Saccharomyces cerevisiae S288C: one gene and its partners. Changing the gene in region 4 together with the main gene of any one other region gives a genetic interaction. Each region holds a gene or a part of one and is shown on either strand. Other genes may lie near its edges. The genes, in order: NEJ1, INM1, TCA17 and DIA1.

Region 1 (4,788 bases), on a different chromosome or scaffold from region 4:
AATTCATACATCTCCTTTATTAATTTTAATGGATTCTTTACAAGGGATTTTCGGTTGCCAAAAACAGAGAACAAATGCGTAGAAATACTCAATGATGTCAATTTTTCAAAAAATGAATTAAATGATTGAAGTCACTTAATTTTTGTGGTTTTTTGGAGGTGGGTTGAGTGTACAACTCACTATAATTGATGAGATATTCGACGAACTTGTTACTTTTTTGGATTCCAGAATGTTTACTGAATTTTAAGAATTAATTAATTTGAGGCTAACCTGTATGGCATGGAATAACGAATCGACAAGAAGTCTCTTACTGTAACTTTCTTTTTTTTTGGTGCATCTATCGTTAAATACAATTTAAATATTACATTCATGTACTTACTCAATATAATAATCTGATTACTTCATACAATAGAAGAGAAAGAAACAGTCTCTAAAACTGCTGTCATAACGCGTGGTGTTGTGGTTTTGCTTAATTTTTTTAGACCCATGCACCAGATATTGATCCAATTTTTTTTTGTGGCTCTTTTGCCAATCGCTCTTATTAAGTAAGTTTACATCCGCGGTTATGTTTTGCGTCTAAATTTCATTTACAGTGATGGCGAGCTTGCGCGGCTATTTTTTATGCAGTTTATCATTTAGACACTCAGAAGCTGCAGTGATGTAAGATACTGCTTGAAACTACCGTTAGATTAATAATAAACAATTAGAACTGTCCTAATACATATAAACTTATATGCTCCCTATCAATGGCATAACGTTACCATTCAATAAATTAACATTATCAATGCGTCAACAAAGGAATAGAACTATTTGAAAGGTCCAACCTTAATTTTTGACGTTTAATTGACTTGCCTTAGTTTTTTATTCTCACCTTTCCAAATTTTCTTTTTTTCTGTGGGTATTCTTCGACCAAAGAAGAACTTGATTTTGTTTTTTCTGGTGTAGCCTCAGATTCAGAAAAATTCTCCAGGCGAAGTTGCGAACTGGTACTACTTTCTCTAGATTTTGGCTTGAAATCTGTCTTTGGTTTAATTTTACCGCGGCTATTTGGTCGAGCCTCATTTGTAGGGTCTGCTTGCAATTCAAAATCATCATTATAAAAATGATTCACCGCAGGAAATCTGACGCGCTCTTTTTTGTTAAGTTCTCCAGATTCTTCAAACCGCGACACATCTTGAAATTTGTTTCTTAAAGATAATAATGTTTTTAATGAGTCCGCCAGAAATTCTTGATGCTGGAATTTTCCTTTATGTAGTAATTTTTTGATTATGTCATCGTCTGTGCATTGCTGCAGAGATTCATAATTCTTAGAATTTTCAGGAGCCCATTGACTGATAACTTTACTCCCACCGTCTAAATCACGAAGAGAAATTAAAAGAAAATCTAAGCATTTTTGCTTTTCATTCAAAATATCCCGTTGTACATAGTGGTATTGGGTGGAAAGGTTTACCAATTTTAATAAAAGCATGCATAAACTTTGCAAAATCATATAGAACATATCCTTAGTAACATGTGAAGGTACGCTATTTATGGAAACTGTAATATCCGCAGATACATCGAAACTAAAAACCAAATTTGAATCTACCAATCCAATTTGGTTAATTTCTTGAGGAGCTTGTAGAATGTCCATTAGTTTTAGTTTAATTAGATTTAATGATATACTATCCGTAAAACCTTGGCTCTGGCATTGCTGTGATAATTGAGTTTGTGAAAGTTTGAAAACGTAGGGAACTAAGCGCTCCAAGGAAACTAAAACAATCATTACAATTGTGGTTGGAGATGACATCGGTAGAAATAATAGGAGACAATTTCCCTCACCATTAATTTTTTTAACACACCATTCTGCATCACTTAGCTGCTGCCCTTTCAACTCAGAATCCATCACACATGTGTAAGATTAACCTCCTATCTGGCCGTTGTTATGGTTATTCTCCATAGGGTTTCCACTTATATGACACTATTTTGTGTTTGCCCGCTGCCAACACTATCATCCCTTTTTGGGACGAAAAAATCCATGTAAAAAAATACATCAATCATAAATACATTTATAAATCGAAATGATATTGTTTATAAAATTTCTTTTTGTCAATGGACCAAAGGTCTTTGGAAATCTCTTTGAACGTTTTCCAAACATCATTAATAAAATCTTCAATCATGAGATCACTGAAGTGCTCCATATTAATGCCCTTTTTCAGCCAAATTTTTTCAGTCTCTATTCTTGCTTGGGACGCTTTATCGAATAAAACCCTACTTACGCGTTCAAACGCCAAAGTTGAAGTTAACTGATAAAAATTGGAAACTGCTTTTAACAATCGCTTATTTCTTTCATTAACAGCAAATATGCTATCAATAATTTCGTAAAATCTTATTATTGTTCCTGAAAATGACAGAAATTTATCAGTCCTAACATCGAATCCTGTCAAAAGTTCATCAAAGTTTTCTTCTTCATATTTAATGAATTGTATTTTTTTCCCAGTGTCAAGGTCAATAAGGAAAAGGAATGCCTTCTCCCTGAAGATTAACCTATTAAATGCTAAACTGTACACTTGCGATACTATTCGTATTAAAAGTGGATTGATTAGAATAATAGACAGTTTTAGCCCTTCAGTTAACACGTTCTCCTGGTCGTTGATAGGCTCTTTAAAATGAAATACCATTGTATTAACACAGACTGATATGGATATCAACAAGAACTGAACCATTCTGTTCTTATCTATGATTCTGCTTTGTTGAGCGATGATCATCTCAATATTGTATATACTAGCAACTATACTTAGAGATCTTGATAAAATCAATATATCAAAGGGATCAATATCAGAGTAGTAAACTGAATTTGTATAATGTTCGATAGGTGAAAAGTTAGATTGTATAAATTCAATCAATCTCAATGAAAAAGTGGTCAATTTTTCGTTCATCTCTCTCTTGTGAATTTCACGAGTAGTGAATCGGGAAACATCTAAAAAATCGTGCATTAGCTTAACTCTCCTAAAGTCAATACTCGGTGATTGGAAATTCTGCGCAGTAAATATACTTAAGTCCAAAAGATCATCTGAAATAGACGGAGGATTACCTATATCATATGAGGTGGATACATCAAGGAATAAAGCCCAAAACCAAATACACCTCAAGTTTTGTTTGGTTTCCTCACTTTCGTTCAAATACCATTTATCAATATCATTTAAACCCAAACTTATGCACCCCTGGCATAGCTCGTTGATTAAGTCAACGCCTTGAGTCGCATCCCATACACCGTCCGTGCAATTTATCATTACACTAATATAGGACAATAAGAAAAATTGTAGTTTTTCCACGAAATTTGAGCTCGATGATGACAAGGACGCTGCACTTAAAGTGTGAAGGAAATGACTCACGGAAGAAGGGATATCTTGGTTATAATAGCCCAAGCAAAGAATTTGAAGTACAATGCCAAGATTATACTTATCTTTTGCATTACCTTGCAAATCGAGGAGGATGACTAGGTTCTTGTCCGTGGTATCTCTAATAAAAAGTCTGTCCAAGAGGGACAGAATATCGTCTTGGTTGAAGATATGCAATATGCCGAACAGCGGTCCAGCAAAAAAAGATTTAATACAGCTTTCCATTTGAGGAAAACTAGGCAAATCTGCTACAACATCATTTTCATTTAATTGCGATTTAGTGCATTCAGGAAGTGGTTTCAAGACTTTCCATAAATTTTGAAACTCAGTTTGAAACTTATTTTGTTCAAACAAAGATAAAGTTTTCCAGGAAGTGGGGCCAAACACATACCTCGAGCCATTATCACCTAAAACCGAAGTTCTCAGTGACCGTAATGGATTTTCTGAACTCCTGCAATACACCGGTTTCGCATTATTGTTATCGTTTTCCTTCAGTAGAGTCTGCAAATTCTCAATCTTCTGAACCAACGCTACATTGGGCACTTGCTCGAACAGTTCCGTATTAGACAAGGGATAGTTGAACTCTTCTGTGTAAACGCATTGCGGTAGTTTTCTAATTACACATTGCTGACACATAGGCCTGGCCTGACTGCATTTCAGTTTTCTTTTTCTACAAAATGCACATGACTTGATGACCTTCCTCCTCTTGCCCTTCTTACCACTTGAAACGGGCTCTCCGGTAGTAGATTTCATAGGAAAATGGGATCCATCCATCCCAACAAACTAAGTGCCGTTTGCCTCTTTCTTATTCGTCCCGTACCAACCACGTGTTTTCCACCTGTCATGGGCTTTTCAAGAGTTTGTCAACGCGGAAAGGCGCCGCATTGCACCTTGTCGTGATGTATTCTAAGTACAAGTAGTAAAGAAGTAATGACCCTGTTGTTATTGCTCCACTGCTGACCGCTGTTAATGCCTCTTCATGATTTCTGAGTCATTGTTGTACCCTCTGGCGAATAAGCCACTGTTGGTTTTGTGTGCATGTTGGAAAGGCGTTGCAACGGACTGTAACTCCACACACGAAAGAACCCTTAATTTTCAGCCGCTCGTTATTTTATTCAGTTGATCATTTCTTGTATAAATAGATTTAAGCAAATTTAAAGTTGATGATTCTATCTTCACAGCTAGAGCTCTACGTGAAATTTGTGCAATATATAGGCTGTGATTTCGAAAGTTATATATTCTCCGGGTAGAAGTGAAAAGGATGGTTGCCGCTTTAACGTATTTGCCTACTGAGCTTATCCAAAGGATATTTGAGTTCACTGTGGTGGAAACAGACTCTCAATATTGGTTGTACAATTTAGTGGCTCTAATTGATTTTTCTGTCTCTTCGAGAGGTGGTGGCTCTATAACG
Region 2 (8,394 bases), on a different chromosome or scaffold from region 4:
TCACTGGTCAATTCCAGATCCAGTTTTGCGGCTTTGTCTGAGTTTATTGAACAATGCTCTTCTTCAGTAGATGTCAATGCCGATGACTGTGCACTCGCTATTTGAAATTCTGCAACCATATCCTGTTGTTATATCTGCATATATATGTTCTTAGTATACAAGGTGATACCATACACCAAATGTAAGGCAAATATGCCTTTATATAGGGTCCAGGTGAACGTAACGCATCTAATAACAAGTGTTATTGCTTGACCTAATAATCTGAGATGGTCGCTTCACCGGTAGAAAAATTCTCTGCGTATTACTAATCTCAACAATAGCCAACACTAAATCCGTAGGACCGGCGAAAAGCGTGCTAATCTCCGCTTTATTGCCGGATCCGAAAGGTGTTTCTGGCATCAAGATGTTATAAATCACGGAATTAAGAGAAGGATATTAAATGTGCCATTGCATTTTATTGATATTTCCACTCACCCAGAGGGATAATAATGATCAAAACAGATATACAATTCAGCTCCACTTTTACCTGCGCAACATGACATTTCCAGAACTAGCTTACAATTCGTACACCGGTTATAATTGGTTTATGGTTTCCAATGTAGGACCAATTTTTAGAGATAAATACTGAAGCAAATATTGGATTTCTTCTGTGTTTCACACGAAGAATATGAGTGAACCATTATTCCGGCTTTTGTTTCCTACAGCAAGATGTAAGTTATCTGGTTTGCTTATTACTTAGAAAAAGGGCTCCTGCTGGTGGAGGTAAATTAGATTATGCACCTATCGGCGGGTTAGCGTTGGGCCGTAGCCTTTTGGTCGCTTGCATTTACCACGTATTTTTTCCTTTCAATTTATTATAAGCTTAGAGATACGATTTCAAGGCGCAGCTCTTCTGTTAGCAGTTTTCTCTACGACTTTGTATGAGGTTCATCTCATTTTGTTAGCTTCTATTCACATACCTACTATAACACTAATCCTGCTATGGTTCAGACCCAAATATCTTCAACCCCTGCCATAGGAACTGTAAAAAATAGATTGTAATTCAAAGTACCTTCAGAAAAAAAAAGTTATATACGGCGCATACTACACAGTACGCAATGTGTCACTTGGTACCGCTGTTCTTATGTTCGTTTAAACAAGATCTCGAGGTTTGAGTCAATGTACGAGATTTTGAAACCATGAGGGATGTGCCCTCAAACTTTATGATCTGGTTTCTTTTTTTATTTATATCGTTTTTATGCTGGGTTACGTTGTTGTTTTATATTCCTTGTCTAGTATTACGGTCAGCAGAGGCCAAATCCTATATGCATTATATGTGGTTAGCATTGACTCCTTAATAGAACGGCCAGTTATCAATCAAATTGCCTATAAGCATGGATCACTAGCGGCTAGTATTGTATTGCATTTGGAATAGCCCTCTTCGTTGAGCCACAAAGATATCTTGCGGAAATGTGGCTAAAGCAACTTTTGATGATTGCTGGGAAACGGTTTGGTAAACTGCTGAAGCAATTGTTGTACACAATACTTCTGCTTTTGGCCCCATCTGGATTTTTCATTTCCGCTTTTGCCTCAGGTGCAACAATAACTATCTTTGAGCATCGTACCACCAATACAAAAGGATATGATCGTTATCATACAGAATTTTTCATGGATTTTGCATGTTTCGGTATAACTTTACGTAGGTGAATTATTGAAGGGCTTTGTGATAGGTGTGGATGTACCTGCCGTGCGTTGATGACCTTCAACTGATCGGAACAAATTGCTATTACATGTAAAAATCTCATGTATGAGCGAATCTTTTTGTGTTATAGGCAATCACCTAGAAAAGCTTGGAAATTGGTCCTGAGTTTTTTGTTGATGGTAAGTGCATTTTTTTAGTATGAAAGGTTTACGATATTAGCTGCTAAGTTCTCCCTTGCCCTAGTGAATTACGTTTTTTTCGATTAAAAGGGTTGGTCCCGAAATTGACCTCTTATATGTACCTCAATTGCAGATAGCATCAAATTTAGACTACGTCATCAACCAAATTACACCCTATGAAAAACATAAGATTATAAGCATGCGTTTGTGTAAAGGTCATACCATTTTATACGTTGACGCAATGGTGCAAATAGAAAGGTTTACGAAAGCTCTTATTCCGCTTAGCGCAATTCTATTGTTAATTTCAAGTAAAAAGATAAATATCTCACGTCCTTATATTATCTTTGATTAAAATTTCACGATCAATGTAACGAAAAAAGGTCGCAAATATTTCTTTTTCATCACTCTGATTAAACAATGGCATCATGAAACGCTCATTGGATCGTTACACGTTCTCATTGTACATATGTATGATTTAGAACAGCTTGTTCGCCTGATCTCCACCTTATACCCTCATCTTACCGCAGTGCGGTTTTACGCCTCATGTTATTTTTGCCAGCTTTAATAACAACATCAGTAATATTACGTTATTGGATCTTCCACTCCGGTTCGAGGAAAAAAAGAGAGGAGGAGAAACGCATAAGCTACAATAATGAGTGAGTTAACGCTTTAATTTGCTCAGTGATCATTGCTAGCCGGATATTTGTGTTTTTGTAGAACCCAGCCATACCTAATCATCTCAGTATATTATCTGAATTCTTGACTCAAAATATGGATTTTCTCGAACGTCTCACTTCCAATCATCCCATCAAATGCTGTGGATGAAAACATTTAAAACACGGGCAAGAAAAAATGAGTATAGTATAGTTGTGGCCAGTTCTTGTTGTACTAATGCACTTGCTTTCGTATCAAAGTTGAAGAAGCACTGAAAGAACAACAAAAAATTTATTAAAAGCAAAAATCATTCTACGTTCAACGAAAATGTAAGGCAAATATATCTTTATATAGGCAAGCATAACCGACGCTAACTTTGTTCGAGCTTCATCAACGTTATTAATATCGTAGTTATTCCGCTTTGTCTCAATAAGCTTTTGCTTACTTGAGAAAAAGAACGAAGTTTCTGTTTGAGATTTTCCTTCTCATTTTCTTTGAAATTTAAAGGAGAAATATTCAGCTCTATACATTCTTTGTTCGAGTATGTTACACATCACCTTACAATGGGAACATCCTATGATGACATACTTCTTCTCGATGATTTATTTTTTTTCTCAGCAAACGCTGTTTTCTAGGCGGTGAAAAACGGGAGTCTTCATCCCACATTTTTTGAACTCGTTGTGAAAGTTTTTTTTCGTACTCTTGGACTTGGCTGTGGGAGTTTGACACATTTTTTTATTTTTTTTCCGTTTTTTTCCCTTTTGTTAGCGATCAAACTTTTGACTTTATGAGTAATCTTAGCTAATCATTTAGAATTATCTTCAGGGAAGCTTATTCAATTCGTGATTTTTCTTTGAGGGTTCCTGTTCAAGCAAGCCAAATTGCCCTCTCAGCTAATACCATGTCCCGTGAAGTACTGCCAAACAACGTTACCCCATTGCATTATGACATTACACTAGAACCTAATTTCCGTGCTTTTACGTTTGAAGGGTCATTAAAAATTGACCTGCAGATTAATGATCATTCGATAAACTCTGTGCAAATAAATTACTTAGAAATAGATTTCCATTCTGCACGTATTGAGGGTGTCAATGCCATTGAAGTTAACAAAAACGAAAACCAACAAAAAGCTACTCTTGTCTTTCCTAATGGAACTTTTGAAAACCTAGGACCTTCTGCGAAGTTAGAAATTATCTTTTCCGGTATTCTAAATGATCAGATGGCGGGATTTTACAGGGCTAAGTATACGGATAAAGTCACAGGGGAGACGAAGTACATGGCTACTACTCAGATGGAAGCCACAGATGCTAGAAGAGCCTTTCCTTGTTTTGACGAACCAAATTTGAAGGCGACTTTTGCAGTAACTTTGGTCTCTGAATCGTTTCTGACTCATTTGTCCAACATGGATGTCAGGAATGAAACAATCAAAGAGGGTAAGAAATATACAACTTTTAACACGACTCCAAAGATGTCTACGTACTTAGTAGCATTTATTGTAGCTGACCTGAGATACGTGGAAAGCAATAATTTCCGTATTCCAGTAAGAGTTTATTCTACCCCAGGGGACGAAAAATTTGGTCAGTTTGCAGCCAATTTAGCTGCTAGGACCTTGAGATTCTTTGAGGACACCTTCAACATAGAATATCCATTGCCAAAGATGGATATGGTGGCAGTTCATGAGTTTTCTGCTGGTGCTATGGAAAACTGGGGGCTAGTGACTTATAGAGTTATTGATTTGTTATTAGACATAGAAAATTCGAGTTTAGATCGCATTCAAAGAGTTGCTGAGGTTATTCAGCATGAACTAGCCCACCAATGGTTCGGCAACTTGGTCACCATGGATTGGTGGGAAGGCTTATGGTTGAATGAAGGTTTTGCCACTTGGATGTCTTGGTACTCTTGCAACAAGTTTCAACCAGAATGGAAAGTTTGGGAGCAATATGTTACTGACAATTTACAACGTGCTCTAAATTTAGATTCATTAAGATCTTCCCATCCAATTGAAGTTCCCGTTAATAATGCGGACGAAATCAATCAAATTTTTGATGCTATTTCTTATTCTAAAGGATCTTCTTTATTGAGGATGATTTCCAAATGGTTGGGTGAAGAGACTTTTATTAAAGGTGTGTCCCAATACCTGAATAAATTCAAATACGGTAATGCAAAGACCGGAGATTTGTGGGACGCCTTAGCAGATGCCTCTGGCAAGGACGTTTGTTCGGTGATGAACATCTGGACAAAACGTGTTGGTTTTCCAGTGTTATCTGTCAAGGAACACAAGAACAAAATCACATTAACTCAACACCGTTATTTAAGTACCGGTGATGTTAAAGAAGAGGAAGATACAACCATATACCCCATTTTGTTAGCTTTGAAAGACAGTACAGGTATCGATAACACATTGGTATTGAACGAAAAATCTGCTACTTTCGAATTAAAGAATGAAGAGTTCTTCAAGATTAATGGTGACCAATCTGGTATTTTCATTACCTCTTATTCTGACGAAAGATGGGCTAAGCTATCCAAACAGGCAAATTTATTATCCGTAGAGGATCGTGTTGGCTTAGTCGCAGATGCAAAAGCCCTTTCTGCATCTGGCTATACCTCTACTACTAACTTCTTGAATTTAATTTCTAATTGGAAAAACGAGGATTCATTTGTTGTTTGGGAACAAATCATTAATAGTTTATCCGCTCTGAAATCTACTTGGGTCTTCGAACCAGAGGATATATTGAATGCTCTAGATAAATTTACTTTGGATCTAGTACTTAACAAACTTTCTGAATTGGGGTGGAATATTGGCGAAGACGACTCCTTTGCTATCCAACGTTTAAAAGTGACCCTTTTCAGTGCCGCATGCACTTCTGGCAATGAAAAAATGCAATCGATTGCGGTAGAAATGTTTGAGGAATACGCCAATGGGAACAAACAGGCCATACCTGCACTGTTCAAGGCAGTTGTTTTCAACACCGTTGCCAGACTTGGCGGAGAAAACAATTACGAAAAGATTTTCAACATCTATCAAAACCCTGTTTCGTCAGAAGAAAAGATTATCGCTTTGAGAGCTTTGGGCAGATTTGAAGACAAAGAACTTTTAGAAAGGACATTGTCTTATCTGCTAGATGGTACAGTTTTGAATCAAGATTTTTACATCCCAATGCAAGGCATTAGAGTTCATAAGAAGGGTATTGAAAGGTTATGGGCTTGGATGCAAGAACACTGGGACGAAATTGCTAAGAGATTACAGCCAGGCTCGCCTGTGTTGGGTGGCGTGTTGACATTGGGTTTAACTAATTTTACCTCTTTTGAAGCCCTTGAAAAAATTAGTGCGTTCTATAGTAGAAAGGTCACTAAAGGTTTTGATCAAACCCTGGCTCAAGCCTTAGACACTATTAGATCCAAGGCGCAATGGGTGAGCAGAGATCGTGAAATCGTTGCTACCTACTTGCGTGAGCATGAGTATGATCAATAGCTTTTTTTTTTCACGAGCACCTACAACACAAATATATACATATGCCAATGAGTCAAAACCACGTGTAATTAATAAAGAGATTACTACTTGCTTATGTAGAAATATAGTAGCTAGCAGAAAATGAATCTGATAACATCTTCATTGACACATTTCCAAGTATAGAGAACTTTCTTCTGCTTCCTTTCGGAAGAACTGAGTGAATATTGACTGGCGTGCGTCATAGCGAGATTTTTTCATCTGATGATGTATGGAAAAAAAAAAAAAACTTTTTTTTGAATAATGGATGCATCGAGTGACTTTCATTGTTGCGCACGTTGCTTTTCCAAAAATGGTATTAATATAGGTCTTTTATCTCTTACTTCACATTTAACTGCTTGTTAAATAACCCCAGTGTTTTCTTTTTTTTGGATGAATAAGGAAATCAACAGCTGGTACACGCATATACACATATACCATGACCATTGATCTAGCTTCTATCGAGAAATTCCTCTGTGAACTGGCTACTGAAAAAGTAGGACCAATCATCAAATCCAAGTCCGGCACTCAAAAGGATTATGACTTGAAGACTGGCTCCAGGAGCGTTGATATTGTAACTGCTATCGATAAACAGGTCGAAAAGTTAATTTGGGAATCGGTAAAAACCCAATATCCAACTTTCAAGTTTATTGGAGAGGAAAGTTATGTGAAAGGGGAGACCGTGATTACTGATGATCCTACCTTTATTATTGATCCAATTGATGGGACTACAAACTTTGTTCATGATTTCCCATTTAGCTGTACCTCTCTTGGGCTCACAGTAAACAAAGAGCCCGTAGTAGGCGTTATATATAATCCTCACATTAATCTTCTGGTATCCGCTTCTAAAGGAAATGGGATGAGAGTTAACAACAAGGACTATGACTATAAATCAAAATTGGAATCTATGGGTTCTCTAATACTAAATAAATCCGTAGTGGCATTACAGCCAGGTTCCGCTAGAGAGGGAAAGAATTTTCAGACAAAAATGGCCACATATGAAAAATTACTATCATGTGATTACGGTTTTGTTCATGGATTCAGAAATTTAGGATCATCTGCAATGACAATGGCATATATTGCTATGGGGTACCTTGATAGTTATTGGGATGGTGGTTGCTATTCGTGGGACGTGTGTGCTGGATGGTGTATTTTGAAAGAAGTGGGCGGTCGTGTAGTAGGTGCCAATCCAGGTGAATGGAGTATTGATGTCGACAATAGGACATATTTGGCTGTGAGGGGAACAATTAATAACGAAAGTGACGAACAAACAAAATATATCACAGACTTTTGGAACTGTGTTGATGGCCATTTGAAATATGACTGATCGTCAGCACATTAGGCCTAATATAAAATGTACGATTAAAATGACAGTTATTTGAATCATTTTAGCTGATCACAGGGATATAGAAGGTATTGGTAGTAATAATAATAATGATAATAATAATAATGATAATAATAAATAATAAATAATAAAGCGATAGATAATGCTCATTGATTATAGATGTATAAGCAACCGTCTTGGCCAAATAGTCCAAAAACGCCAACTAGAGGCATCCATCCTTCACCTCCTCCAAACCTTTCAGCTAAATGCAAAGCTTTCTCTAAACGATCGGACTCTACTGGTTTACCTATGCTAAAACCACGAATACATAACATACCCTGCTTCTTCTCTATGTTCAAATGAGGGTTTGTTTCCGTTTCTACCATTTTTCCTTCTAATGTTGTACTTAGTGTTCCATAACATACAACGTTATCGTCCACAGATTTTCCAAAAACCCTATAGTCATAAAAATTGGTATGTGCCACAGGTCCCATGATAGCGTAGGGACAATATAACTCGAGGACTACACGGGATCCTAATTGAGCTCTTATTTTATTCAATTGTTCAGTGCTTGGGGTGATTCTTCGGTTAGTCTTTTTTAGCTGAGGAATTTTTTCAGGAAATGTCGAAATAACCTCAGCATCTTTCACATTATCTGCCAAATAAACACATCTTAATTTTTCAAGAGAATGTGGCTCGATTCTGGCAATTTTCGTAAAAATACCCTCGCTCAGTAAGTTCGTGGCCCAGGATAAGTAGATTTTATTCAGCAGCCCACTTCTAGAATTAGAATCAATTAATTTGACAACATCCTTTGTTTCGGTAAACAGTAACGTAGTTTCTTGCAACGACTCGCAATCTATCGTTGTAGGATTGATGAAAGATGCAGACCCACCATGCAGCAAAACTGCAAAAAGCTTTCCCCAAATTTGTAGGCTTGCACTAGAATTTGCCAATTTTGTCGAAATGGTTAGGTATTCATTACTATTCAATTCATTTCCCAAGGGGAACCCTTTGATGAATTCCGCTATATTACTCACCAGACAGATTTGATTAAAACTATTAGTTC
Region 3 (6,288 bases), on a different chromosome or scaffold from region 4:
CGAGGAAATCTTCTAGTATATCCTGTATACCTAATATTATTGCCTTCAACACAGACGGAATCCCAACAATTATCTCAAAATTCACCCATTTTTCACTCTCAAATCTGAATCTAAGTAAATAGTGGCAGTGAAATCCGGATCAAAATTCAGTAACTTTTGTGATATCTCACATTGACATACCACGGTCGGAGGTGAATTTCTTCACCATTAACATATAATATGATCATCTATGTAAATTTTATTGCTGTTATTCTATTAGTAGTAATGATCGAAAATAGTAGAGGTATCAACGAGGTCAATGGATCAAAGAATGCCTTGAACCTGGTTAGTCTATAAATTTTCGTTTACCTACGTATGTCATATTCAACGTTCTTTCTTTCTCAATTTCTGCAATGATCCCACCGGAGTATATGAACGAACTATTTTATCATTATAGCTAGCTCTAAACGGCTGCAAAAACTAATTCCTTGAAACAATGTGCCATTAATTATCTAACGCGTGCTTCGTCCTACTGATTATTATCCCTTATTCGTTTGATTCACATAGTAGACAACTCTTGATCACCCATATAGTACCAGACGACGCTAATTCAAAATTAATCGACATTACGCATGTTTCTAATTTGGGAAAAAAAGGCCAAGCTCCGATATCCCGTTTAAGGTCAACGCTTGAACAGTGGTTTCTGAACGAACACTCATATCATATTACTTCGACTCAACTGCTGAGCTAGCAGACTGGAAATATTTCAGGGACTCAAAAAAGGTTCAACTAGTCTCCACTGTAAGCACATTCTTGCATTCTGAATATACGAATGAGTATCATTAACTCAAAACCGCGCCCTCTTATACGAGACCTCCAAAAATGGATCGTTCATGAGTAAAGGCATCTCAATAACAATAGCAATAACAATAATGTTCATGAGGTGAAAGGTGGCCCCTCGTTCATGTAAGAGAAGCTGGCCGAGAAATTCATATAAATTGAACTGCTTTGGTTACCTCTCTTTGGTATATGCCTCCACTCTTCTCTTCCTAGTTAAGCTTATATCAGCACAAACAAAACAAATAAAATGGTCAAATTAACTTCAATTGCCGCTGGTGTTGCCGCCATCGCTGCTACTGCTTCCGCAACCACCACTCTAGCTCAATCTGACGAAAGAGTCAACTTGGTTGAATTGGGTGTCTACGTATCTGATATCAGAGCTCATTTGGCTCAATACTACTCTTTCCAAGCTGCTCACCCAACTGAAACCTACCCAATTGAAGTTGCTGAGGCCGTTTTCAACTACGGTGACTTCACCACCATGTTGACTGGTATTGCCCCAGACCAAGTGACCAGAATGATCACCGGTGTTCCATGGTACTCCAGCAGATTAAAGCCAGCCATTTCCAGTGCTCTATCCAAGGACGGTATCTACACTATCGCAAACTAGAGACAAACGCCAATTTAATGAAGGAAATGCTATGAAACTTAGATAATGAAATAAAAAAAAACCCTTTTTTTTTTTTTGGTAGTATAAATATCTTTATACGTACATACGTGAACAATCACATCATATCTGTCAATTCTCGTTGTAACCATAACCTAGCACTTATTTCAGACTTTCCAAAGGTCGCAGTATCTTTATGACGAGCCATCCCATGTAAAAATTGCCGTGCCGGATATGAAGTGACAAAGATCAGTCTATATCTCGGAAAGCCAACAAATATCTTCATTATGAAGTAACGTATAGTGATTGCTTCCACATCTGTTCAATTCGGACAATTTTCGTTAGCAGTAGAGTCAAAGCGATCGCCTTAATTGTCTCCGTATCTTATTTATTCATGAACAGCATGACAATTGACAGTCACTTGAATGAAGTAGAAAGTTTGATTGTCACGGTCATCTGAGATATACTACCGGCACCTGATCCCCGCTAATTAGGCAAGGCGAAACTGTCACCAAGTTGGACATATTAGACATTAATAACTTCTCTGAATCGCTCTCACTCCAAAGCAGTGACATTAAATTTTGCTTTCATTCGTGAAAGAATCGACTAATAAATTATCATTTATAATTCAACTTCAGTTGAAATAAACAACTCATCAAATTTTCTTTCCAAGCTTTTTATAATGGACTTTTCGTCACCGCTAACAAGTAAAGGATTACATTTGACACGTATATAGATTTTTCTTACGGTTTCGAAAATCTGATTGATTGCTTCAAATTCATCATCAGCTCCACTTAGGCTTTTTTGTTCAAATCCAATGACAATCTTCAGGCCCGTCTGCTTAATCAACATAGCAAATACAGAGACACCTTCCAATTGAAAAATTGACTTCAGAAGAGGTTTGGAATCTAAAGAATGCCATTCAACCAAAGCACTTTCAAAATAATCTAACGATATGTTAGAAAGCACGTTATATTTGAGTACATCATTCATCTCATTCTCCGCCTCATTAGGGACGTAAATCAATATAGGTTTATCAGATTCATCTATCAATGATACGAAGCAAGGCCTCAAGCTCATAGTTTGGTGATATAAACGTACAATTTGATTTTTGGAGAGAATATTTACTCAATTTTCAACTCAATAACTTTTATGTAAAATGTTTCTTGGCCGTCGATGAGCTCTTCCGGCAGAACTTCGAAAGTGAAAAAAAAAAAAAAAAAAAAATAATAATAATATTAATACTACTTATATACTATTAAAAAATCGTTTAGAAATGATTCATTTATAAAATTCGTTACTTGCGGTCATTGGCAATAGATTCAGCTGCGGTTCTCCCAAAGACAACGCATTCTAACAAACTTGAACCACCCAACCTATTGGCGCCATGAACACCGCCAGAAACTTCACCGGCCGCGTACAGGCCTTTTAGTAGCCTTTCGTCGTTCTTGCCAATGACTTGAGCCTTGACATTGATTCTAGCACCACCCATGGTGAAATGGACAACCGGTGTTACTTCACCAATAAAAACCACAGTTTCTGGAGTAACGTCAGAGCCAAATTCGTTGAGAATAACGGTACGTCCCAACGGATCAGCCTTGGTAGTGAAGGAAGAGTATGTTTGCAATTCCTCGCATAATTGGGCGACAGTGATTGGTAAATTATATTCAGAAACAACTTGAGATAATGTCAATTTCTGTACAAGTTTCTTGAACATGTAAAAATCTAAATTATTCTTCAAATCTGTGTACATTTTTTCGCCCATAACCAATAGTGCTCTGTTATCCTCTTGAGGACAAACCTTTTGAATAGCTGCAGTGACTACATCTCTTGTGGTCAATTCGTTGACAAATCTTCTACCGGTAATAGGGTTTAATAGGATACCACCAAGACCTCTTAAGGATTCGGCAGCCAAGAATTTCCAGCTTGAGCTACGGTCATTTGGATCAATGAACCCAGTTGGATGAACTTGAATTTGGTCCATGTCAATCAGATCAGCGCCTAACTTCTGCAGAAGCCTTTGACCATCACCAGTTGTTTGTTGCCCGTTTGTTGTTGGCAAGTTCACCAGTTCGGGTGCGTATTCTTTAAGCATTTCCTTAGAAAAGCCAAACCCTCCAGAACAAAAAACGACATCGTTAGCACTCACCATGTGCTTTTCGCCATTCTTGTCCTCGTACACTACAGCAGAAATGGAGCCATCCTTTTCATGGATGTCTACGACTTTACTGTCTAAGTTAATCTTAACTAACTCTGGTTTAGTCTCAGCTAATTTCTTCAAATTGTTAGATAAGGCAGAAACAATTTCGAAACCTGGAGGCAACTTCCCAGACGATCTGTGAGTTCTTGCCACAGAGTGGCCACCCAATTGAGCCAATAGGTCCAATTTCAAATCAAATTCGTTTTTCAACCATTCAATAGCCAGGGGAGAATCATTGGCCAACTTAGCCATTAATTCTTGGACACCTTTACCTTTAGCAGACTTGATGGTGTCATCTTCAAATAAGCGTGGGGAGTCCTCGATGTGGAAGTGACGTTGAGTCTCGGTGCAAGCACCGTTAATACCACTGGAGGCCTTGATAGAGTTCCCACCGATCGAGGAAGCCTTTTCGAGGATGGTTACAGGGATGTTATACTTGTTAACCAATTCATTGGCAGCAGCCAGCCCGGCCAAACCGGTTCCAATAACAACAACGGGAGAGAGAGACATTTACAATTACGGATGAGGGGTTGTTGAAGTGAAGATAAGAAAAAAAAATGGGGTGCTATGTCAGCGTATTGTTCTCAGCTTTTATACGTGCAATAGATTAAGCTGTTCAGGAACGCGACGCGTTGCCCCCGTTACCGTTTGAAAAGAAAAAAATTTTCTTTTTCATACCTGTCTCTATTGTTTCAGTCATTCACTGCATGATGACAAATGAAAGAAGAAAGACAATAGTAGTAAAAGCAAAAAAGGAATTAAAGTGAACGTTTTTTAGACTCTTACGCATACATATAAATATATATATATATTTGTATAAAAGGTGTACGTCGAAATCCTGTGAAGAAACCCTGCGAGAATATACATGGGTACATTCAATCTTAATACGTAGTATCGTAGAATACAAAGAAATGTGCTTCTCCACGTGGATACGTACCGTTGTAAACTTTAATCAAGTACCAAAAAAACCAAACATATTCAGTCGATCTCTCAATGGGGAACAAAGAAAAGAGGTTCTTACCTTTTTTTCCTCCTTCCCTCAGAAAGACCACCTTCGTCCCTCCATAATAGGGTAGTTAGTCGCTAGGTGCGCTGGAAACTAACCATTGGTTCTCAAATGTGCCGACATAATTAGTTATAATTATGGTGTGAGAGTTGAAATATCCTTGAATAACAAAACAGAAAAAAGAAAAAACCCATTTGAATATAAAAATCATTGATGCAAAAGAAAGCCGTTAAATCTACAATGCCACGAAATTATTGTAATGTATGAAAAAAAGGAAGAGGGTAGCAATCCTAAAACAAAAACCCTAACAATACACATGATGCAACTGGAACGCATCAGTATTTGTAGGTTTTTATTTCGCGGATAGCGTTGCCATCAACGTCGACCTCGGTGGATTCACTACGGTAAATCTGGGTAGGTCCGTTACAGTCGAAAGGATGTTCTTTAGCATAGTCGAAGGCCTCGGAGATGGCCAATTTGACTTTTTCCAAAGTATCTCTGGTGACTTGATAGTGGAACGAGACTCTACCACCCATTAGCTTAACGTTGTACTTCAAACCCTTCTTAACAAGGACATCTGGGTCCATTCTAGCGGCCTTCAGGTTAATAAAGACAAAGTTGGTGTCTGCTGGAGACTCTAGCGGGATGCCCTTTGCCTCACAATATTCGGCTAATTCATGAGCCAAAGAGTGCGAGTACAGCAATTGGGACTTCCAATCGTTGTTGATGTTTACAAGAGCCATTCTAGCCATCATACCAGATTGTCTAATACCACCACCTTGTTGTTTTCTGAAATGGGTGGCCTTCTTGACAAACTTAAGGTTCCCAACCAAGACGGACCCAATAGGAGCACCCATAGACTTGGATAGACAGATGGAGATGGAGTCGAAGATTTCCCCATATTGCTTTAATGGCACGCCAGATTGTGCAGCGGCATTCCAGATTCTGGCACCGTCACAATGTAGTTTGAGACCATTTTCCATACACCAAGCTTTGATGCGGACCAGTTCTTCCAATGGATAAACAATACCGTGTAAAGTGTTTTCCAGAGAAATCAATCTGGTGGGGGCACCGTGAATATCACCGTCGTCTGGGACGTAGTGTGACTTGATGTCTTCCAAGGTCAAGTAGTCACCGTTGGAAGGAACCACAGGAACCACCATCGCTTGAGACAAGATCGCCAGTCCAGCGGCTTCGTGAGTGTAAACGTGAGCCCTGTAATCACATAGAATAGAGTATGGAGGTTGCATCAAGTGAGTTCTGATGGCAATCTGGTTGGACAAAGTCCCAGAGACACAGAACAAACCTGCTTCTTTGCCAGCCATGCGGGCAACGGTCTGTTCGAGCCTAACGGTGTCAACATCTTCACCGTAGACAGCGTCACCGATAGAGGCCTCTAAAGCGGCCTCCATCATCTCTGCAGTTGGAGTGGTGAATGTGTCTGACCGCAAGTCGTTAGCAGCGGTGATATATTTTGGAGGCAATTCGAATTCAGTCATTGTGTTTATGTTTGCGTTTGTGTGCGGGAGTAAAAGTGAGTGTAAGCCTAGGAAAGGAGGTGGTTACGAACTAGCCAGCGGAAACAATGTACGTATATGTATGTAAGTATTACTCTATACCAGACAGAACAAGATAGACGAGAAGGACACATGGAGG
Region 4 (8,445 bases):
CTCATGGAGCTAAATGTGCCTGTTGGAACGTTAGAAGCACTTGTAGCGTTGGATGTTGATAAAGAACGGGCAGTAGCTTTATTACTCAAAAGCGATGTACTAGATGTGGCCAAATTGGATTCGTTTGTAGTTTCAGAAGAAGTTATACTAGAGACAATTGATGAAACGACTGAGTTTTTTGTTTTGGTGACAATCAGCGAGGCACTTGCAATGGTGGAATTATTGTCAGATGGCGCACTGGAGCTAGCCAGGTTAGAGGAAATTGATGAAGCTTCCGAAGAGGTGATATCAGACCAGACCGATGGAAGTGGAGATGCGGTTAAACTGATAGACGCTGATGGAGAGGTTGTAACGGTAGAACTATTGCCGAATATTACACTAGACTTACTCAAGTCGGAGGAAGTAGATGAGGTTTTGGAAGTGGCCATTCTGGAATTACTTGACGAAACCTTAGATCCAAGTGTACTAGATGCGGCGGATGTTGTGGTAGAAACGGTCGAATTGTAACCCGTCGACAAAGAGCTTTCAATGATTGAATTGCTTGCTAATGTCTCACTAGAAGGTCTTAGGCTAGAAGTTACTGACGAAGCTTCTGTAGCAACCAAAGTAGAAGTAACTGATGTATTTTTAGAGCTAAACAGTCTAGAACTTGCTAAGCTGGAAATTGCCGATGGAGCTTCCGAACTCACTAGGCTAGACGTTGCCGATGAAACTTCTGAACTCATTACGCTAGATTTTGTTGACGAAATTTCCGAACTCACTGAGCTAGACGTTGACGATGGAGCTTCTGAACTCACTGAGCTAGATGTTGACGATGGAGCTTCTGAACTCACTGAGCTAGATGTTGACGATGGAGCTTCTGAACTCACTACGCTAGACGTTGCCAATGGAGCTTCCGAACTTACTGAGCTAGATGTTGTTGACGAAATTTCGGAACTCACTGAGCTAGATGTTGACGATGGAGCTTCTGAACTCACTACGCTAGACGTTGCCAATGGAGCTTCTGAACTTACTGAGCTAGATGTTGTTGACGAAATTTCGGAACTCACTGAGCTAGATGTTGACGATGGAGCTTCTGAACTCACTACGCTAGACGTTGACGATGGAGCTTCTGAACTCACTACGCTAGACGTTGCCAATGGAGCTTCCGAGCTCACTGAGCTAGACGTTGCCCATGAAGCTTCTGAACTAATTACGCTAGACGTTGCCGATGGAGCTTCTGAACTTACTGGGCTGGAAGTGATGGATAAAATTGTAGAGGAAAATGGTAGGGTTTCAGAAATAGTAGAGCTTGCGGGGCTGGAAGTACTTGATAGTAGGGAAGAAACATCGGACGTGCTTGAACTAAAAACTTCCTTTGAGGCATCGGAAGTAGTACCAACTGAAGTGACAGCCGATCCTGAGGAACTTATCTTTGGAGAAGATGAAACGTCAGTAAGCGTGGTAAATGTGGAGGATGTGACTGCAGTTGTATCAGAAGATGAAGCAGTAGTTTCAAGGACAGAGGACTTTCCCAATGGCTCCGAAGAGGAACCACCTCCATTTGATGAACTGGTTTGCGGGGAAGATGTTTGAATAGCACTACTACTTATGGAGTCAGTCTCTGTAGTGGAGCTGGACAGTTGTGCATTTGTGGAGGAAAGCGCACTGTATGAGTTTGAGGGGCCAGAGGTTGATGATTCGACATCGTTGACTGATGTACTAGAAATATCGGATGATGTGTAAGAAAGAGAAGAAAAAATGGAAACCAATGACTCCGATGATAGAATTGAGGCAATTGTATCAGAGGAGAGCGACGAGCTAGAAGTAAACTCGGGTACAACAGAAGAAACTAATGTGCTAGAACTACTGACAATAATTTCTGGGCTAGTTGTAACTTTAGTGCTTGTCGTGCTTGTCGTGCTAGTGGTAGTAGGCGTAGTTGTACTGGTTGTGCTACTAGTAGTAGTCGTGCTACTATGCGATGTGGTAGTGGCTGTGGTCGATTTTGAACCAGATGAACCCATTTTGATACGGCGCTACCCTTTCTTGTGGATACCTTTTCTATGACAGAATCATTGACAAATCTGAGGGAACAAAATTACCACAGGTGTGAGTGAGACTTTATATAAAATTAATATTTCATTTTTAGCTTTGTTCCACTTGAGAGGAACATGGGCAAAGATAGAGACTAAGAAAACATGTTTTCAGAACTTTACTGTTGACTGCTGAACAGTCTTAGCAAGATGCTTATTTTTACGTGAGTTCTAAGTCGCCGTGGACTGACACCTTCGCTAAATTCACAGGCAATGATCGCAAACGAGCTTCATGAAAAAAAGTTTATTTTGGATCAGATCTGCGCATGGTCCAGAAAATTCGCCTTAACGAAAGGTACACAATTTTGCATTAAATGTCAAAAAAAATAGAATATGCGATACAATTATACCTGAGATGAATTTAGTAAAGTAGGTGCAAAAGATGGTATAATACTTGAGCTACATCTGGGAAACTAAAGCACATTTTACGTTCAAAGCGAATAGTAAATTAGAGAGAACAGTTGCGCGTGGAAGGCACGGGCACCGCTAAATCTAAAGAAATTACATACTATTTCATTCTTGCTGTCATTTTTTCCTCATTAATCACCACTTTTAAGCAGGATATAAGAATAAAAAACTCGATTTGAATAAAAACTATGCTTTCCTTGGTACATACGTCCTTTTGAGTACATAAGTAATGTCAACTGTGTAGGAAAGAGGTGACGTCCTAGGCTCGGCTGTGTGATATTACTTTTTAGAACCTTTTTGATAGAGGCTAAATGGTAAGGAAAGTTAATTTTATTCGAATTTTGGGCCACCTCTCTTAGAAAGGATTACTGCTAACTTCATAGTGTCAGATCACTCGTGTTTGTTCTGAATAATGAGGCAGGCGGTATACGAAAGAAGATATCCTGCTTATTTGGCTCCTATTGTTCAATTAATTAATCGATTGGCCAACGACTTTCCTATCGTATAGAAGAAACTGTTTGAAAAAAGATGGCTTATCCAGGAAGGCGCCTGAACAAGTTCTTGCTTCCCACAGTAAAGAAAAATCAAAATGGCCGCCATAGCGGTGCAGGAAGGTCTTGCCTATCGAGGATATTGTTTTTACTCCAAAAGGAAAGAGGAAAGTTAACAAAATCAACTTTTCAAACGGAGAGTATAACACCCGGAAGTTAAAAACTGTGAGGAAGATAAAAAGAAATCTTCACGAAGTTTTTTCCATTTTGGTGATCTAATGAAGTCAGCTATCACTTTTTTGCGCTACGGGCTTTATGTGACGCAATAGCCCGTGCCACTTTAAACTTTTTTGTGCCTTGGCACCTTTGGCAGTATACGAAGAAGATCAATTAAACAAGAACGACGAGATCTCGGACAAGATATGACAGGGTTTAAAGTTTCTTCTTTTTTTTATATTCTGGCATTGTCCCGCTTTTTCAACGCAGGAAGGGAACGAGCTTGTGATAAGTTAAAAATTACAGTTACACATCTATACTGGTTTATTATACGCAAACTTTTGTTACATGAGGTTCATGTTCATGTTAGTCGTGTTTGCAACGTTTCTTTTATTTTGTCTCCTTGCCTCTTTCGCAATTTTTTTACGTTGTCTCTTCATGTACTCTATGTAATGTATGAGCAGGCTCTGACACCCGAGTTCTTCCGTCAATGGTGGGATATTATTCAATCCAAATGATCCTTGATCTGTGGAATACTCGCCAAGAATTAAGTGGCCCTCTTGAGCGACCCACCTAAAAAGAGATGTTTCAAATTCTCTAGTATAATGAGCTGCCACGAACCTCTGAACTTTTTGATCCTTTTGGTCGATGGACATCTTATTTTTAGCGGCTCTAATGACATCTTCATCCAAACGATTCACTTCATAATCTGCTAACAGAATTAATTTATAATGATCGTTGGTAACTACGGGCGAATAAGTGACATGCCACCTGAGATTTAAATTATTCACTTTAGTGTCCAAATCCCTGTGTCCTTCTCGGTGAGCCATTGCTAGTAAGTTGGGCTCCGTAGACGTAGTCCCTACGAAGCTGTAAGTTACGTTTGCTTGGCTGACATTTTTATATATGTCGTAAAGAGGCACTTTATACAATATTAATCCGTTGTTTGAGCAAACGATTTTTGCCACAGTATAAGGCGGAGGTTCGTCTGCCGTTCTTAAAATAAATTTGAAAATTTTATAATATGGGACATTGCCGACCACAGTATTGCTATGACCTCTTTTACCAAACGGTAGAGTGCAATTGATAATTTGGAATAATGGAATACCAATTGCATCTGGACTCAGCTCATTCGAATACTTTTTAGTGTTTTCAAAATTTTCAAGCGATTGCTGAGACGGAAACATGAAAAACCCATCCTCGCCGTTTATCTCGGCTATGGGCATTCTTCTTTCCCTATTAAAATGAAAGCACTCTGGGACACTTTTGCTATCGGACATTTCAATCTTCAATCTCTGCTCATCTTTAAGCCCATCTGCTGCTTTCTTAAGAAGGTATCTACTTATTGAACCCATAATCAGATTTTTCTTGAAAAACTTTTAATGGAAGCTTAGCACCTGCTTCGGTCTTCTTTATCTTGGCGAACTTTGCCAAATCTGTAGTTGTTTCAAATACTGTCATGTTGGCAGTCTTCTTTTTATATGCGTTCACGCCGATGGCCAAGCCTACAACATTTTCTCAAAAAGGGACCATTGTCCCTTGCTGCGCCAAAAAAAAGAAATAGGCGCATACGTTCCGTCATCTATCGCTCACAAAAAGTGGAACCGGTAGGATTTTATCACTGACACATACCGTTGTACTAAGAGAGCAATTAAGTCGACAACGCAATTGATATGCGCTCTTCGTTATCGAACCCTAGCGGTGTATTTTTCGGACAAACTTACTGTTCATTATGGCCGAATGCTTACCTAAAACGACACTTCTGGTCGTTTTCAACTCTCATGCTCTAAGCAATTAGGCTTTTGGGGCGAAGCGGACAAGCTCTTAAGGCCGTGAATAAAGAAAGGGAGATGAAAGGACGCCGTAGCAGCTGCAATAGCTTTCTTTCGGTCATCAAAAATCCCAGTGAATTCTTGGGGGACACTTGTGGGGTTGCATTACTCGAAATGCTTCGGACGAGTACCTGATTCGTTAAACATATATATATCTCATGGTGAATTGGAAACGGTTGTAGATCTTATATAGGAAAAGTCATTCATAACTAGTTCCATGCCGACTAAGTATTTCGTCCAGGCTCGGCGTTCTTGTTGAACGAATTTTCCCATAATCATCCAGATTTCCAAGAACCTCGCCTTCGTAACATTTTGCAACAACAAGTGGATGGAGAATTTTGGCTATTTTTAGTTCAAGAAAACTTAGAAATTTTTCAACGGTTTTTTATCTCGTTAGTATTATCATTCCAAAAGTATACTTATGTGGGTACATAGTTATAAATATATGAGGGAATCTATCTATTAAGGTTAAAAAAGCGTTACATCGTAAAACGGTAATCATGGCTGCTCAATTTTAACGTAGTCACCATTCTTGGCAGAAGATTTTAAAAACGCGTCCACACAAGCCAAATGGTGAAATGCAGTTCTGGGTGTGCCTAGGTATAAGGATTTGTCCTTCTTGCTGACAGCTTCGTGAAAATTCAAAAATTCAGCGTTGACGCCGAAACTTTCATCATTATCGACTTTAAAAATTTGTTCGTCACCGTTATCTTCAGCTGAACCCCCTAATTTGACTTTTACAACGGGGTCTTTTTTGTCTGATAAGTCAACGGTAACGGTACCATTCTTACCATAGACTTTCAAGAAAACCGACTTTTCGGTAGCACCAAAGGCAGACCCATAAGTAAAACTTCCGATAACCTCTTTATTTTTCAACTGGACAGTAGCAAAGACAATATCATCTGCACCGGAACGTTCACGCACCTGTCTCGTTAATGCAGAAACAGATCCAAATTCACCGAGTAGGGAAATAACGAGAGCTAATTGGTGGACACCACCATCAGATAGAAATCCGCCAATGTGCTCTGGTTTTTGTCTCCAGGTTGTGGTCAAATATTTATTTTGAGTAACAAATGGACCGGTAGAATTGTGGGTGAATGCTACTACAGGACCAATTTTCTCGATCTGCTCCTTTGCGATTTTAATACATGGTAAATATAACCAATTTTCAGCCACACCAACGGGCAATGGGGTGGATTCTGCTATCTTGACAATCTCCTTTGCTTGGTCTAAGTTGGCCGCAATTGGTTTTTCCAAAATAACTGGCTTACCTGCTTTAACTGCCTTCTCGACAATATCAGCATTAAATTGAGCAGGTAGCAAAGCGTCAATGTAGTCGACATGAGGGTCATTCAAAATTTCATCTAGATTGTCGTAAACCTTATTTTCAGGTATGTCAGCAACCTTTGCAAAATCCAAAGCTTTTGCCTTATGTCTGTTGAAGGCGGCAATGACTTTGAATTTGTCAGGAAATTCCTGGTAGGATGGGAGATGTCTATCTCTGGCAAAAATACCTGTACCAACTATACCGACGTTCAATGGGGACATTTTTGGCTATTACTTTACTTTTTGGAACCAAGAAGTGATTATGGGTCTATTCGATGTACAGAAACAAATAGGTTTGAGCGAGTTCGAAAGTTTATCCAGAATAAGTAGTTCTTTTTATAGACGAACACCTATGTATTGTGATACATAATCATGCTGAATTTTCAACAGGGGATAACTCCGTTTATTCCCCGGCGGAGGGCGGAATTAAGCGGGGTTATTAGTTGATTTGGAAGCCACGTCTTTTTTAATTTTGAATGAGAAGTGAGACTACGTACTAAGTTAATCTATTATTATCTTTATATGTAAAAAAACCCCGACCGTGGTGAAAGGCTTCTTTGGTCTTGCTTTGACAATTGCTTAGTGGAAACGATACTTTGTGTCCAGACCTAGATGTATTTAGCAACAGCTTCTCCATCGTAAATTGTAAAAGGCGTATCCTTACCCACGATGGCGATTGAAAGATTGTCTACAGTCAAGGATTCGTCCCTTAGAGACTGGCTGATAGCCTCGACGCCAGCTTTGATTAGTTCATCCGGGTTCCCGTCAATTTTTATAAACGTGTCTAAAGTTCTCTCTAGATAAGTCTTTGCCCCTTGGCTTCTTGCGCCAATAGCTGTACCATATAGTTCTGTGACATTTCCGGAAGGTTGGAATTCTAAAAGATGAGCACCGCTCTTGTCATACCCGATGATCAACAAACCAACACCGTAGGGTCTGCCCCCATAGGATTGTGTATTTTTCTGTGCTTTATCGCAAAGCAAATGACCTGCTCTCTCGACGGCAAGCTTTCTGTTAAAAACTAAGCTGGAGTAATTACACTGTTGTCTCAAATAATTACTTAAAACTCTAGCATCTGGAGCCAACCCGGCTAACGAGAGCCCCATGTGCTCGTCACATTTGATGATTTTTTTCTGGTATGATGACAATTCGTCTGCATTTCTTTTCAACGCTACTAAAACAGCATGAGTGTTCGAACGTAACCCCACAGTGACGCTCCCTTGTTTAATAGCTTCCAAGGCGTATTCCACTTGGAACAGACGGCCTGTAGGAGAAAAAGTGACTGTGTCCCCGTCGTAATTGTTCCTGAACATGTTTTGTAAATATATGAAGGCTTAGTTCAATGTATTCTTACCCACTTCTCTTGAACTTCAATTGATCACCACGTCTACCTAAATGTAGTGGCGTCTTGGTTCTTTTCCATACTTTGACGATACTTTTGAATTTTTAATTTTGCCACTCTATAATAGGGTATGTTCTTTATAGGTCATTTTTACTTTTTTAGTAGGGCATTTTAATAAATACTAGGTTTTTAGTAATTTCGGAGATACTTATCCTAGGTCTGAAAATTCAACCCTAACCCTTTTTTTCTTATGTTTTTTTTTTTCTGGGTAGCAGCTAATAGAAATTAGTACTGATTACATAGAGAAGTACTATGACACAATAGTAAGGGAATCATCTATTCATATATCACATCTTTGAGTTGCCGTTAAGCATGAAGGAAACGGCGCAGGAATACAAGGTGTCTGCTGTAATACCGACCCTTTTGAAAAACTGGATACTGCGTGTAGTGTATGCCACATTGGACCATATACCTCCTTTTGTGTGGGAAATTCTACATGTCATCACCGATATTTATTTCTTCTGGGTTCAAAAGCTGATTAACTATGTGCGGCCACACTCAAGAGTCATTTATTATAACGCTATTAAGAAGTTAGATGAGTGTGATACGTATCAAATGTGGTGTCAGCAAGCGTCCGTAGTGGATGAAATAACAGGCGCAAATTTATGGCGGCGGAATTTCTTTTCGAGGAGGTACGACTTCAATTCTGTCATTGAACAATATAGCATATTGGAAAATATGTTAAGGGAGGAGAA

What was found.
Region 1: mutations in DIA1 (region 4) and NEJ1 together harm fitness more than expected from each alone (negative genetic interaction), as found in Saccharomyces cerevisiae (one large-scale study listed by BioGRID).
Region 2: mutations in DIA1 (region 4) and INM1 together harm fitness more than expected from each alone (negative genetic interaction), as found in Saccharomyces cerevisiae (one large-scale study listed by BioGRID).
Region 3: mutations in DIA1 (region 4) and TCA17 together harm fitness more than expected from each alone (negative genetic interaction), as found in Saccharomyces cerevisiae (one large-scale study listed by BioGRID).

Annotation. Positions count from the first base shown.
Region 1 is NC_001144.5:673,574-678,361, forward strand, and holds NEJ1 (Nej1p), read right to left. Parts: upstream 1,883-4,788; coding exon 854-1,882; downstream 1-853. Other genes in the region: YLR264C-A (uncharacterized protein), read right to left, coding at 255-371; PDR8 (Pdr8p), read right to left, coding at 2,046-4,151; BOP2 (Bop2p), read left to right, coding at 4,639-4,788. UniProt on the Saccharomyces cerevisiae protein: Involved in non-homologous end joining (NHEJ). Facilitates the transport of LIF1 into the nucleus, where it can interact with DNA ligase DNL4 to repair double-strand breaks (DSB). Mediates mating-type regulation of NHEJ.
Region 2 is NC_001140.6:196,332-204,725, reverse strand, and holds INM1 (inositol monophosphate 1-phosphatase INM1), read left to right. Parts: upstream 1-6,440; coding exon 6,441-7,328; downstream 7,329-8,394. Other genes in the region: YHK8 (Yhk8p), read right to left, coding at 1-119; AAP1 (arginine/alanine aminopeptidase), read left to right, coding at 3,416-5,986; DDE1 (Dde1p), read right to left, coding at 7,493-8,394. UniProt on the Saccharomyces cerevisiae protein: Responsible for the provision of inositol required for synthesis of phosphatidylinositol and polyphosphoinositides.
Region 3 is NC_001137.3:62,662-68,949, forward strand, and holds TCA17 (Tca17p), read right to left. Parts: upstream 2,507-6,288; coding exon 2,048-2,506; downstream 1-2,047. Other genes in the region: seripauperin PAU2, read left to right, coding at 1,067-1,429; FRD1 (fumarate reductase), read right to left, coding at 2,724-4,136; threonine aldolase GLY1, read right to left, coding at 4,968-6,131. UniProt on the Saccharomyces cerevisiae protein: Required, together with the TRAPP II subunit TRS33, for TRAPP II complex assembly or stability, and for proper Golgi localization of TRAPP and the Rab GTPase YPT31.
Region 4 is NC_001145.3:900,925-909,369, reverse strand, and holds DIA1 (Dia1p), read right to left. Parts: upstream 4,546-8,445; coding exon 3,535-4,545; downstream 1-3,534. Other genes in the region: YMR317W (uncharacterized protein), read right to left, coding at 1-2,006; YMR316C-A (uncharacterized protein), read left to right, coding at 3,397-3,708; YMR315W-A (uncharacterized protein), read right to left, coding at 4,977-5,084; YMR315W (uncharacterized protein), read right to left, coding at 5,521-6,570; PRE5 (proteasome core particle subunit alpha 6), read right to left, coding at 6,957-7,661; TGL3 (bifunctional triglyceride lipase/lysophosphatidylethanolamine acyltransferase), read left to right, coding at 8,063-8,445. UniProt on the Saccharomyces cerevisiae protein: Involved in regulation of invasive growth.